2 linked regions of the Canis lupus familiaris genome follow. The protein of the gene in region 2 interacts with the protein of the main gene of each other region in a pairwise test. Links are inferred from orthologs where the notes say so. Each region holds a gene or a part of one and is shown on either strand. Other genes may lie near its edges.

Region 1 (5,302 bases), on a different chromosome or scaffold from region 2:
GAGATTTTCTTACAACAGAAGAACACTGGGAAGTATATTGAAGGGTTTGTAAATAACAAAGTACCTGGTCCTGAAAACATTCTATGCCATGTACCTGTTCCTTGAAATTCTGAAGAATTTCAACTGACTGGAACTGCATGACATGTAACCTAAATATTGTACTCAACAGACTACAGAGGAGTAGTATTTCCCTTGGTGGCTGTAGTCCTTTTTGGTGGGATTACATTTTGACCCGAGTTAACTGGAATATTTTCTGATGTAGTTTTCTGTCACACAAAGACTTATGTTCTGGACAACTCCCAGATCATTTGCTCCTAAATCTGGCTTTGCTCCAGACCCATCCTTTGCCATTTTCCTTATTCTCTGTTATCTAGCAATCTTGTTCTCATCTTTAGACTTCCACAAAATATTAGGCTCCCACCTGCTTCCAGGCCTTCGCACATGCTGAAGGGAGAACTCATCCTCTTCTCTTCAACTTCACCTGGGAGATATCTACACTCTTAAGTTAGGATCTATCATTTTTAAAACTACTCTCTACTAAGCACCTAACCTGGCAAATGATTATAAAACGATTTCAAGCAGCCATTAATGTATAAACATAACAGTACTTTAAACAGTATGATATGGGGATCCCTTGGTGGCTCAGCGGTTTAGCACCACCTCTGGCCCAGGGCATGATCCTGGAGACCCGGGATCAAGTCCCATATCAGGCTCCCTGCATGGACCTGCTTCTTCCTCTGCCTGTGTCTCAGCCTCTCTCTCTCTCTCTCTTTCGCTCTCTGTGTCTCTCATGAATAAATAAATAAAATCTTTTAAAAAAATAAAAAAAAAAACAGTATGATACAAAACTATTTACCCAATGATACAAATTTGGAGGAAAATGAATATGTATAGAAAAGAACAAAAAATACACCAATATAAGACGGAGGAAAAAATAAGTACATACGTAAGTGTTAAAAAAAAAAAAACACTAGAAAATAAAACACTACATAGAAACACAATAAACTAAGTGGTAACTGTAGAATGGTAGGGAGCAAGAACTTTCTCATGTATAGCTTTTTTTTACTGAACCATTAGAATGTACCAAACCAAATATATTAAAATGTTTGCAAGACAGGGACGCCTGGGTGGCTCAGCAATTGAGCGTCTGCCTTCAGCTCAGGGCTCAGGGCGTGATCCTGGGTTGAGGGATTGAGTCCCCATCGCGCTACCTGTGAGGAGCCTGCTTCTCCCTCTACCTATGTCTCTGCCCCCCTCTCTCTCTCTGTCTCTCGTGAACGAATAAAGTCTTTTTTCTTTTTTAATGTCTGCAAGGCAGAAAACACACTAAAACTTTAATAGTGATTATCCCGGAAGAATGGGACAAAGATTTTGTCTTCTATTTCTATAAATACGCTCACTAAATCTTCTATAATGACTGTGAAGAACTTTCATGACCAGAAAAAAGATGTACCTTTGGGGAGACCTCGGAGAGCAGTTTCCGCGGGGTCAGGAAAGAGAGGAACTGGACTGGGAAGGCTCCCGCTACAAAGGTGACGGGATCAGTTTCTGTTTCCAGATGGGAGAGACCTGAGCGCAACACGTTTGTGTGCTACGAGCAAAGAACCATGAGAAAAGAGAGGTTAGAAAGGTGAGCAGTCTGAAGCCCAGGCGCCGGGTCCCAGCGAGTGCAGTCCCCACGGGGCCATCCGCAGGCTAGGGAGCTCTGGCTCTGCCAAAATTGTCTCGGAAATACAAGGGCAAAGAAGGAAAAGGGGACTGACGCTCGTGGTGGACCTGGGAAAGGAAGAAGGTGTAAGCTGCCTGCGCCGAGGGACGCTGCGCCGGCCCCAGCGAGAGCAGAACCACCGTCCTCTCCCGCCCTTGCCGAGGCCCCTCCCCTCGCCTGGGCGTGCGGCGGAAGGACGAGCGCAGGAAGGGGCGGGGCTATGAGCGCCCAGAGTGCGCGCGCGGATGTCGCGAGAGCAGTAGAGAGCGGAAGAGTAGTAAGTGCAGGATGCGGTTCCTGATTGCGTTGGCCCTGCTGAGCCTCGCAGTGGCGGGTAAGACCCCACCCCCAATAATCCTACTATCATCCCTAGGTCCACCGTCCTCACCGCGGCCGGGTCGCTCTCTGAACCCGCTTCTTCCCTGCCGGAGCCACCCCTCCGCTTGCCATCACCCACCTCCCCCGTTTGCCTGTTGCCTCGGTCTCTTCTAGCTCTGAGGGCTCCCTTCTCCCGGATTTCCTCTCTTCAGAGCGAACTGGTTTCTCTATTTCAGTGGCCCCAACAGGAGAGCCTAGCGAGCTGCAGCCACAGCCCGGAGACAACGGCCCTAGCAAGAAGCCCAAGCTTGAGGCCACAGGAGTCGACCCTGACAAGCCCAAGCCTGAAGCCACAGGAGAGGACCCTGACAAGAAGCCCAAGCTTGAGGCCACAGGAGTCGACCCTGACAAGCCCAAGCCTGAAGCCACAGGAGAGGACCCTGACAAGAAGCCCAAGCTTGAGGCCACAGGAGTCGACCCTGACAAGCCCAAGCCTGAAGCCACAGGAGAGGACCCTGACAAGAAGCCCAAGCTTGAGGCCACAGGAGTCGACCCTGACAAGCCCAAGCCTGAAGCCACAGGAGAGGACCCTGACAAGAAGCCCAAGCTTGAGGCCACAGGAGTCGACCCTGACAAGCCCAAGCCTGAAGCCACAGGAGAGGACCCTGACAAGAAGCCCAAGCTTGAGGCCACAGGAGTCGACCCTGACAAGCCCAAACCTGAAGCCACAGGAGAGGACCCTGACAAGAAGCCCAAGCCTGAGGCCACAGGAAACGACCCTGACAAGCCCAAGCCACAGCTCACCAGAGATGACTCTGACAAGATCCCCAAGCCTCAGGCCATGGGAGACAACCCTGACAAGAAGCCCAAGCCACACTCTATGGGAGACGACCCTGACGATGAGAAGCCCAAGCCACAGGCCACAGGAGATGGCACTAGCAAGGTGAAGTCCCAGATGCAGTCCTTGAATGACCACTCCAACAAGCTGGTCTCTAACCCCTCTTCTGATAACAAGAAGCCCACCAAGCCTCACTTAAACATACCAGCCGACAAAGATCCCACTCTGAATGATTATAAAAATGAATCTGAGGAGAGAGTATTACTGGACTCTGACCCCACTTCACAGCAGGAGGGAGAAGGCAAGTCTATAGAGCTTACCGAAGATGTGGAACCCAAGAAGGCTGAGGAAGGGGATACGGAGCCTGAAGAAGGTTCACCACTCCAAGGAGAGAAAGAAATGCCTGGCCTTGCCTCCAGTGAGAACCGTGAAGGGACACTTTTGGATTCTGTGGGTAGGCAGAATGATGACCTTTATAAGGACAGTCTTGGAAGTGCTAGTGCAGAAAGCAGCCACTTCTTTGCTTATCTGGTGACTGCAGCCATTCTTGTTGCTGTCCTCTATATTGCCTATCACAATAAACGGAAGGTAAGTCAAGAACTGTCTTGAGGAATGAGATTTCCTCCACCTTGAAAGCTTGGTGTGTGGGCCAATATCTGTCATTCATCTGCCTGTGAGCACTGGAGATTTCAAGTCAAACTTCAGTTTTTCCTCAGATTCTGCTAGGTCTCTTTACTCTCATTTTATAAATCATTTTCTTTCATGTCCGATTCTTTTGAGTGCCCTCTGCTGCTGTGTTAGGTGCCAAATGAGGACATTTTTATGATCTGACCTGAATTGGGGTCTTCTCCCACAATCTTAAATTTAGATCATTTTACTGCCTCCGAGAATCTGAGTACCTGACAGTTTGTAAGTAGAGTACTTATCTTCCTATTTCCACTCTGAAGATAGTGCATCATTTCTAGTTTCCTTTCCCACACTTTTATCTTGCATCTGCAATGGCAGAAAGAGTGGTTACATAGTCTTTGACATCAGCAGCAGAGAGCCCAGGGACTATCTTCTACAATCGGTTGAGTTTCCGATTAGAAGAATGACCAAAAATTGCATGGATACAATCGTCTTTTAATGTTACAGCAGATTTGGTGTGGAGTAATATCTGTGTTGCTTAGCAACCACTCTGATGACAAATGATTGCATTTCTTATTGAGCTCTAAGAATTTATTTTTTTAAAGATTTTATTTATTCATGAGAGACACACACAGAGAGGCAGAGATACAGGCAAAGGGAAAAGCAGGCTCCATCCCTGGACTCCAGGATCACGCCCCAGGGTGAAGGCAGCACTAAACCGCTAAGCCACCCAGGGATCCCGCTAGCTCTAAGAATTTAGTAGTTTCTATAGCCTGGTTAAAATTGGAGAGTTCAGTTTATGATATCAGTATGCCTATGGCTATGAGGAATGAGGGAAGATATTTAGTAAAAATAGTTCTTTATTCTACATCCAAGTGCTCGTCCCACAGAGTAATCTTAGATGTAAAAGCAGTAAGGTTAAAATGAAGCAAGGTGTGGGGAGGAAAAGTACATTTGCAGATAAGAAATAATTATTGCTTGTGAGAGAAAAGGAATGTCTGATCCTAGAGCTGTGTGGGGCACAGCTGGCAGATCTTTGTGCTCTTGAGTAAATCATCCAGACTCCCACAGGCTAACGGCCAGAATAGTCTTCCTTCATCTGTCATTTCCTGTTTAGCAGTATAAAAGATTCTGATGTAACTGGAGGCCCCGTCCTCCTGAAAACTGTTATAATTTAAAGATGCCTCTTGTGAGTTTGCGGCTCTTTCACTGCCGGGGTCATTAACAAATGTAGTACCAGGGCAGCCCGGGTGGCTCAGCAGTTTAACACCGTCTTCAGCCCAGGGTGTGATCCTGGAGACCAGGATTGAGTCACACGTTGGGCTCCCTGCATGGAGCTTGCTTCTCCCTCTGCCTGCTTCTCCGCCCAACCCACCCCCTCCCTCTCATGAATAAATAAATAAAATCTAAAAAAAAAAAAAAAAAATGTACTACCAGGTGATGACCTCTGATTTCAGAGACTGAAATAAGCCATTGTAGAATCATCTGTTAATTTCTTTTTCCTTTCCCCAGATTATTGCTTTTGTCCTAGAAGGAAAAAGATCTAAAGTCACTCGGCGGCCAAAAGCCAGTGATTACCAGCGTTTGGACCAGAAGGTAAGGAAGGGAGCCCCAGGTGTGTGGGAGGGATATGCAGTCTCAGGTAGGCCCAGCAGTGCACTTGATTTGCACTGGTGGTGGCAGCTGATTCTGGGTGCCACTGCCATTGCCCTGCCCTTTGTGGACCACAAAGCAGAGACATCCATATGTATGCATGTCTGCAATATGAGAACTAGAAGAAGCCTTCATGTGTTCTACATCAGCTCCATCTC
Region 2 (5,338 bases):
GAGTGACAGCAACGAGAGAGAGGATTAGACACACAACATCCTGGGGTAGGCTGCACACACCATGAAGTGGAAGCAGACGAGCAAGAGGCAAGGGGTGGAAAGCATAGCAAGTCATGCAAGACAGTAGGTGCCCTGGCTTAAGCAGGTCCATCCAGGGCAGGCAGGAGGGGGTGTGGATGGGTATAGCCAGCCAGGTTCAGGCAAGCCAGGCACTGCCACAACTCTAGTTCATGCCCTACCACCAGCCAATGGACAAACAGCCACAAAGGCCAGGCCAGCCCACTAGCCAGGGAGCTGGGAGCCAAGAAGCTATTGGGCTCTGCAGCAGGCCCATCCTATAACTCTTTAACCTAAGCTCTTGGAGGAAGAAAAACAGGGCAGCATGAACCAGAGATGCCTAATCTCATTAGAGCTGCTGAGGCTAGGACATGTCCTCTCATTCAGGAAAGAATAGTGGCATGCAGTGTGGGGCAGAGTGAGAAGGCAGGCTGTGTCTCTTTGCTAAGGTCTGAGGGACCTAGAACAAGGAGCTATTCCGGGTCTACTCTGGTAGGCCAGGAAGGGCAGCATGGCCTCCCTGCCCTTCCTTCAGTGACCCGGAGAGTGCCCCAAGCTTGCTCACAACCTCTCTTCTAGGAGTGGCCCAGAGGAACTGAAAACAGCTGAGTCAGCAGCCTGCCTCCTCCTGAGAAAGGGAGTAGGAGAGGATTTGGCAGCCTGGAGAAGCTTTCAAGAGAATTCAGTGAAGGCTCTCACCGTGAGAAGGGCTTTTGAGAGCAAGACTTAGATGGACTAGTACCACTAGCCTGTCCACTAACTTCACCCCCTGGAGAAAGATCTCCCTCCTCCTCAAGGGAGGAATTCATCTACCAGGGCAAAAGCACTCATTTCTAGCAACTAGGTCTGTCACTAAGGAAAGGAGAAGGCAGGAAGGACAAGAGTTCCTAAGACTGTGGGGGGCCACACCATTCCACAGGTCCCACCTATTGGCCAATAACTGGCTGCCAGGCCAATACCACCAGACCTAATGGGAACCAGATTGTATTAGCTGAGCTTCTAAGATGCAGCGAGGGATGGGGGTGGCCAAAGTCCAGTCTCTGGTAGGAACGGACCTGGTCCTGCATGCTGGGGAGGAGGGATGAGGGGTGGGGACACAGCTGGCTCAGCCAGGGGACTCACCCGATGTCATCTCGGTAGACCCGGGAGATGAGCACCTCCCCCTTGTGATTATAGATGAATAAGCCTCCAATCATGGCGGCAGCTCAGTCTCCAAGGCCCATCGCTCTGAGAACAGACCTAGGACAGGCGGAGGCAGGGTAAGGGAAGGCCTCAGAACCTCTGCCAACATCCCCTGTGGGGCTGTGCAGGTCACTGGCTGGGCTTTTTTTCCTGACTCAACCCTCCAGTAAGTGACCCTGAAGCCCTCCCCAGGCATGCCCCTCCCCTTAGCCAGGCTCCAGTTCCTGTTTATCTCACACTGGAAAGGAGAAAGAAATGGAGAGGGACTTGGGCCCAGGATTCTAAGGCCATTTTGACCCTCCCTTTCCTGGGGCTGAGCCCAGAGTGTAGCCCCCTCCCCCTCTTTTCAGTGCTGAGCTCAGCACAGATCCTTTTTGGCCCCTTCCTGTGCAGACTCTCACTCAGACTCTAGCCGGTGAGTCACTGGGAAGGCCTGCCTGCGGCTGCAGGAATGGCGGTAGGAATTATTCCACTTGGTTCAGGCCTGGGGCCCCCAGGCACGGCTTTAGGAGCACCCGGTCTCTCAGGCTCCACTAACCCTTCGGAGAAGACAGCAGGGCCTGAACCTGTGGCTCTCTAATTCACAGAAGTCTAAACATTCCAGGAAAGGGTGTGCAGGGTGTGGGGAGGAGACAAGGGAGGCCTTAGGCCCTGACACAGACCCTGGAGTGTGGCTCCAACCAATCCCAGGCAGTCAGATAAGCAGGCAAAAGAGCAGAGGAGAAAGGGCCCAGCCTTGGCCGACTACACTTCAATGACCCAAGCTGCTTATTAGTTATTTTTAACCACCTCCCTTTCAAAAAGGGAGGATCCCTCTCAGTTCCCAAGTGCAGTAAAAATAAGGGGGTGGGAGTACAGGTTTATAAAACACAAAGATCAATCCAGCTGACATTCTATGATTCCAGAACCATGACATAACTCATTTCTGGCCTGAGTACCTATAAGGAAGGGGCAGAGAATAGGTGTGCATTATCCAAATTATTTGGGTCAAAATATTTGCAAGGAGAAAAAGGGTTAATTTAATTCTAGATTTCCTGAATTAGCTCTGGTATTGATTTTACAGGGCAGAGGGAGTTTAGCAGACTTTTCTAAACTGGAAAATAAAGCCCTATTACTGAGGCCATCAGGGTCTCCCCAACTCAGTGAGAGGTCTCTCAAGGTGGTGGTGGACACATTCCACCCCAGAGTCCCAAAAAAGGCTGGGAAAGGAAATGAAAAATGGGAGGTAGAGCCCCGGGCAAAGAAGCAAGTTCACAGATATCAAGTGGTAGGGGCCGCAGGGCACCGAAGGAGCGGAGGTGGGGCCCAGGGCAGGAGGGGAATACTGAGCTAAGGGGAAGGACGGGCAGAAGGAGCCAGGCGGTCTAGTCAGGTGAACCTGCAGCAGCAAGAGGGCTGGGGCTGGGGGCTGGGGGGCGGGGGGGGGGACGGGGACATCTGGAGGAAGGAGTTTCCAGTGTGGCAAAGGTCAAGACTTTGAAACAGCAGGGAGGAGACTGACAAGTGGCGAATAGGGGAAAGCTGGGGCGGCGTTAACTTGCTTTAGGGTTCAAGTGTGGAGGCATGACGGGGGGTGGGCTCTTCGTCTAGGGGAGCAAGACATCGCGGGGATGAACATGGCTCCACGGGGCTGCGGGGGCTGTCACAGGTCTGAGGAAGAAGAGCCGAGGGGTGTCACTCAACTGGGGGGAGGGGGTGCGGCTGGTGGGAGGCCTGTCACAGCCCAGGGAGACGGCCCGAGGGGGTGTCACCGTCGAGGAGATGGGGGAATTGTCCTTGCGCTGGGAGGAGGCGGCGCCAAGGCACCAGGGGGGCTGTCACGATCCCGAGGAAGGGGGCGCCGCGCGGCATCCTGGCTCCGGGGGGACCCCAGGAGGTCTCCCTGTCACGGAAGGCGCCGGACTGCCGGTGGAGGGCGCCGCTCCCTGCCCACCCTGCAACCGCGCCCCGGGCGCCCCCGCCCCGCCGTCAGCTCCAGATCAGAAGGCTGAGGCCCCTCCCGGCTGTGGGCAGCTTTTCGCGCAGCGCAGTGCAGGGAAGGGCAAAGCTGGGTAGCGGGGTACGCGTTCTCCCTTACTCTCCGCCGGATTCCGAGCTTACCTGGCGTCCGCGGCCGCCTGCTCGGCCCGCCCGGCCACTCTCCAGATCCCAAGATGTCCGCCCGCCCCCTGCTCGCCAGCCCGCTGCCTCGGCTTTCACCGCAGTGCCGTGGCCCCGCCCCGAACACAGTTGCGCGTGCGCGTCCGGCGACCGAGCCGACTACAAATCCCGTCAGGCCCTTCGGCCTTCTAGCTTACAATTTTAGCCTTTCTAGGTTTAGGAAGACTACAACTACCGACTGCCTTCAGCGGGTTAGGCGTGCCTTGGGGAGGGATAGGCGTGGCCACATCCCATCATACTCCGCTCCACTCGCTTCATTTTCCCTACCGAGCATTCTGGGAATTGTAGTCTGCAATCCATCCTGTTCAGCGTCTAGGAGAGCTTCGGAGGATTAATGCCATTTGTTGAAGCCCATCTGTTAAGCTTGAGATTGCTGTAGGCCTTTTCCGTCTCTGGAGTCCGAACACTGGCTGTGCTCACTTTACACACACACACACACGACTTGGCAGAAGTGTTTGCACTAAATTTACTGCTTTCTAACACCAGCTCTGATTTTCCCAAGACTTTTCATCAAATATTTGTTCCAGATGTGAGCCTCTTCCCAGGGATCAAGACCCAAGTAAAAGGGCAAAGATGGAGGAGGCAAATACTTGTAAGAAACTAGCCAAAGCTTTTCAAGAATGTCTGTTCTATCCCAACTACACATACCTATGTGACCCCTTGAGGCCAGGACCTGTGTGCCTTCTAGTGATGGCATATATGTTGCTTAAAAAACTGCTGGCAAGTTTAGCTGGACATGGAACTTGAAATCCCTTCTCTAATGAACAGAGTTAATCTTCACACCCAAGCTGAGAAGAAAAGACAGAGCAAACCCTCAGATATGAAAGCCCTGCTTGACTTTTACAGGACCCGAAGAAAATGTTAGCTCTTCTCTTTCTGTACGGAGAGCTTCCCTTATGCCTTCACTGGTGCTGAGCCCATCATGGGAGGAAGGGCAAAAAAGGGCAAACCTGGTTACAAACCCTACTGTCCCAGCATCCTCCTGCTAGAAGCCAGAATGTGGCAGGATGAAGATCTGGCCTTCCTCAAACAGTGGTCACCATGTGAATCCATTAAGTGACTGAATACAGGCATTTCTAAATCTTGAACCGGCACTCAGATCTTCACTGCTACCTTTCCAAAAGCTTTATCTTCAATCAATAATACCCTACCAATTTAGAATAAATAATAATAGTAGTAGTAGTAATAATAATAGCTACCATTTATTGAGCACCTATTCTACTCTGTGCCAGGCACTGTGCTAGGCACTTTTCGTACAAGTCTAATTTAAATCCTCACAACAACCCTGTGAGGTAGGTATTATTATCATCATTTTACATATGAGGGAATTGAGGCTCAGAGAGATTAAGTAACTCTCTTATCACGAAACCAAAAAGTAGTAGAGCTGGGATTCAAGCCCAGAACAACCTGACTCCAAATCCCGTGCTCCTATGAATTAGGGTAGAGGCGGGGGGAGAAGAAGGACCATATTCAAGAAAGACTGTTGAAGTGGAATGGATATGATATGCTGACTAGTAAGAGTTGGGGAAGAATTTAAGTCCATAAATGTTCCTAGCTGGTATGCCTATGTAGACTGTGCTAAAGATCATCAGAGTTGGAATTAAGGAGGAACACACTTGATGGGGGAAATGAGTTGAGTCCATATAGATATGTCCATGGTGACGTCCAGTGGATAACACAGATCTAAAATTTGGAGAGAAGTTGTGGCTGGAGATAGGCATTTTAGAATCACCAGTGTATCAGTGGCAATTGAGGACATCAGGATAGATGACACCATTTGGGTAGTAAACTTAGAGGAAAGAGAAGTGAACCAAAGATGGAACACTGGGAGCACCAACATAGAAGGCATGAGCAATAGTGGAGGAATTCTCAAGGGAGTTGAACAAGGCAGAATCAGAAAAGGAAAAGTATAGGAACCAGTCCTGTAGTGGTGGGAGAA

Evidence for each region.
Region 1: the proteins of AP2M1 (region 2) and TGOLN2 interact in a two-hybrid assay, tested with the Homo sapiens proteins (2 studies listed by BioGRID). The link is inferred for Canis lupus familiaris from reciprocal best matches to the Homo sapiens genes AP2M1 and TGOLN2.

Annotation. Positions count from the first base shown.
Region 1 is NC_049238.1:40,035,936-40,041,237, reverse strand, and holds the start of TGOLN2 (trans-Golgi network integral membrane protein 2), read left to right. Parts: upstream 1-1,855; 5' UTR 1,856-1,996; coding exon 1,997-2,042; intron 2,043-2,262; coding exon 2,263-3,452; intron 3,453-5,003; coding exon 5,004-5,087; intron 5,088-5,302. UniProt on the Homo sapiens protein: May be involved in regulating membrane traffic to and from trans-Golgi network.
Region 2 is NC_049255.1:17,240,955-17,246,292, reverse strand, and holds the start of AP2M1 (AP-2 complex subunit mu), read right to left. Parts: upstream 3,459-5,338; 5' UTR 3,340-3,458; intron 1,297-3,339; 5' UTR 1,254-1,296; coding exon 1,180-1,253; intron 1-1,179.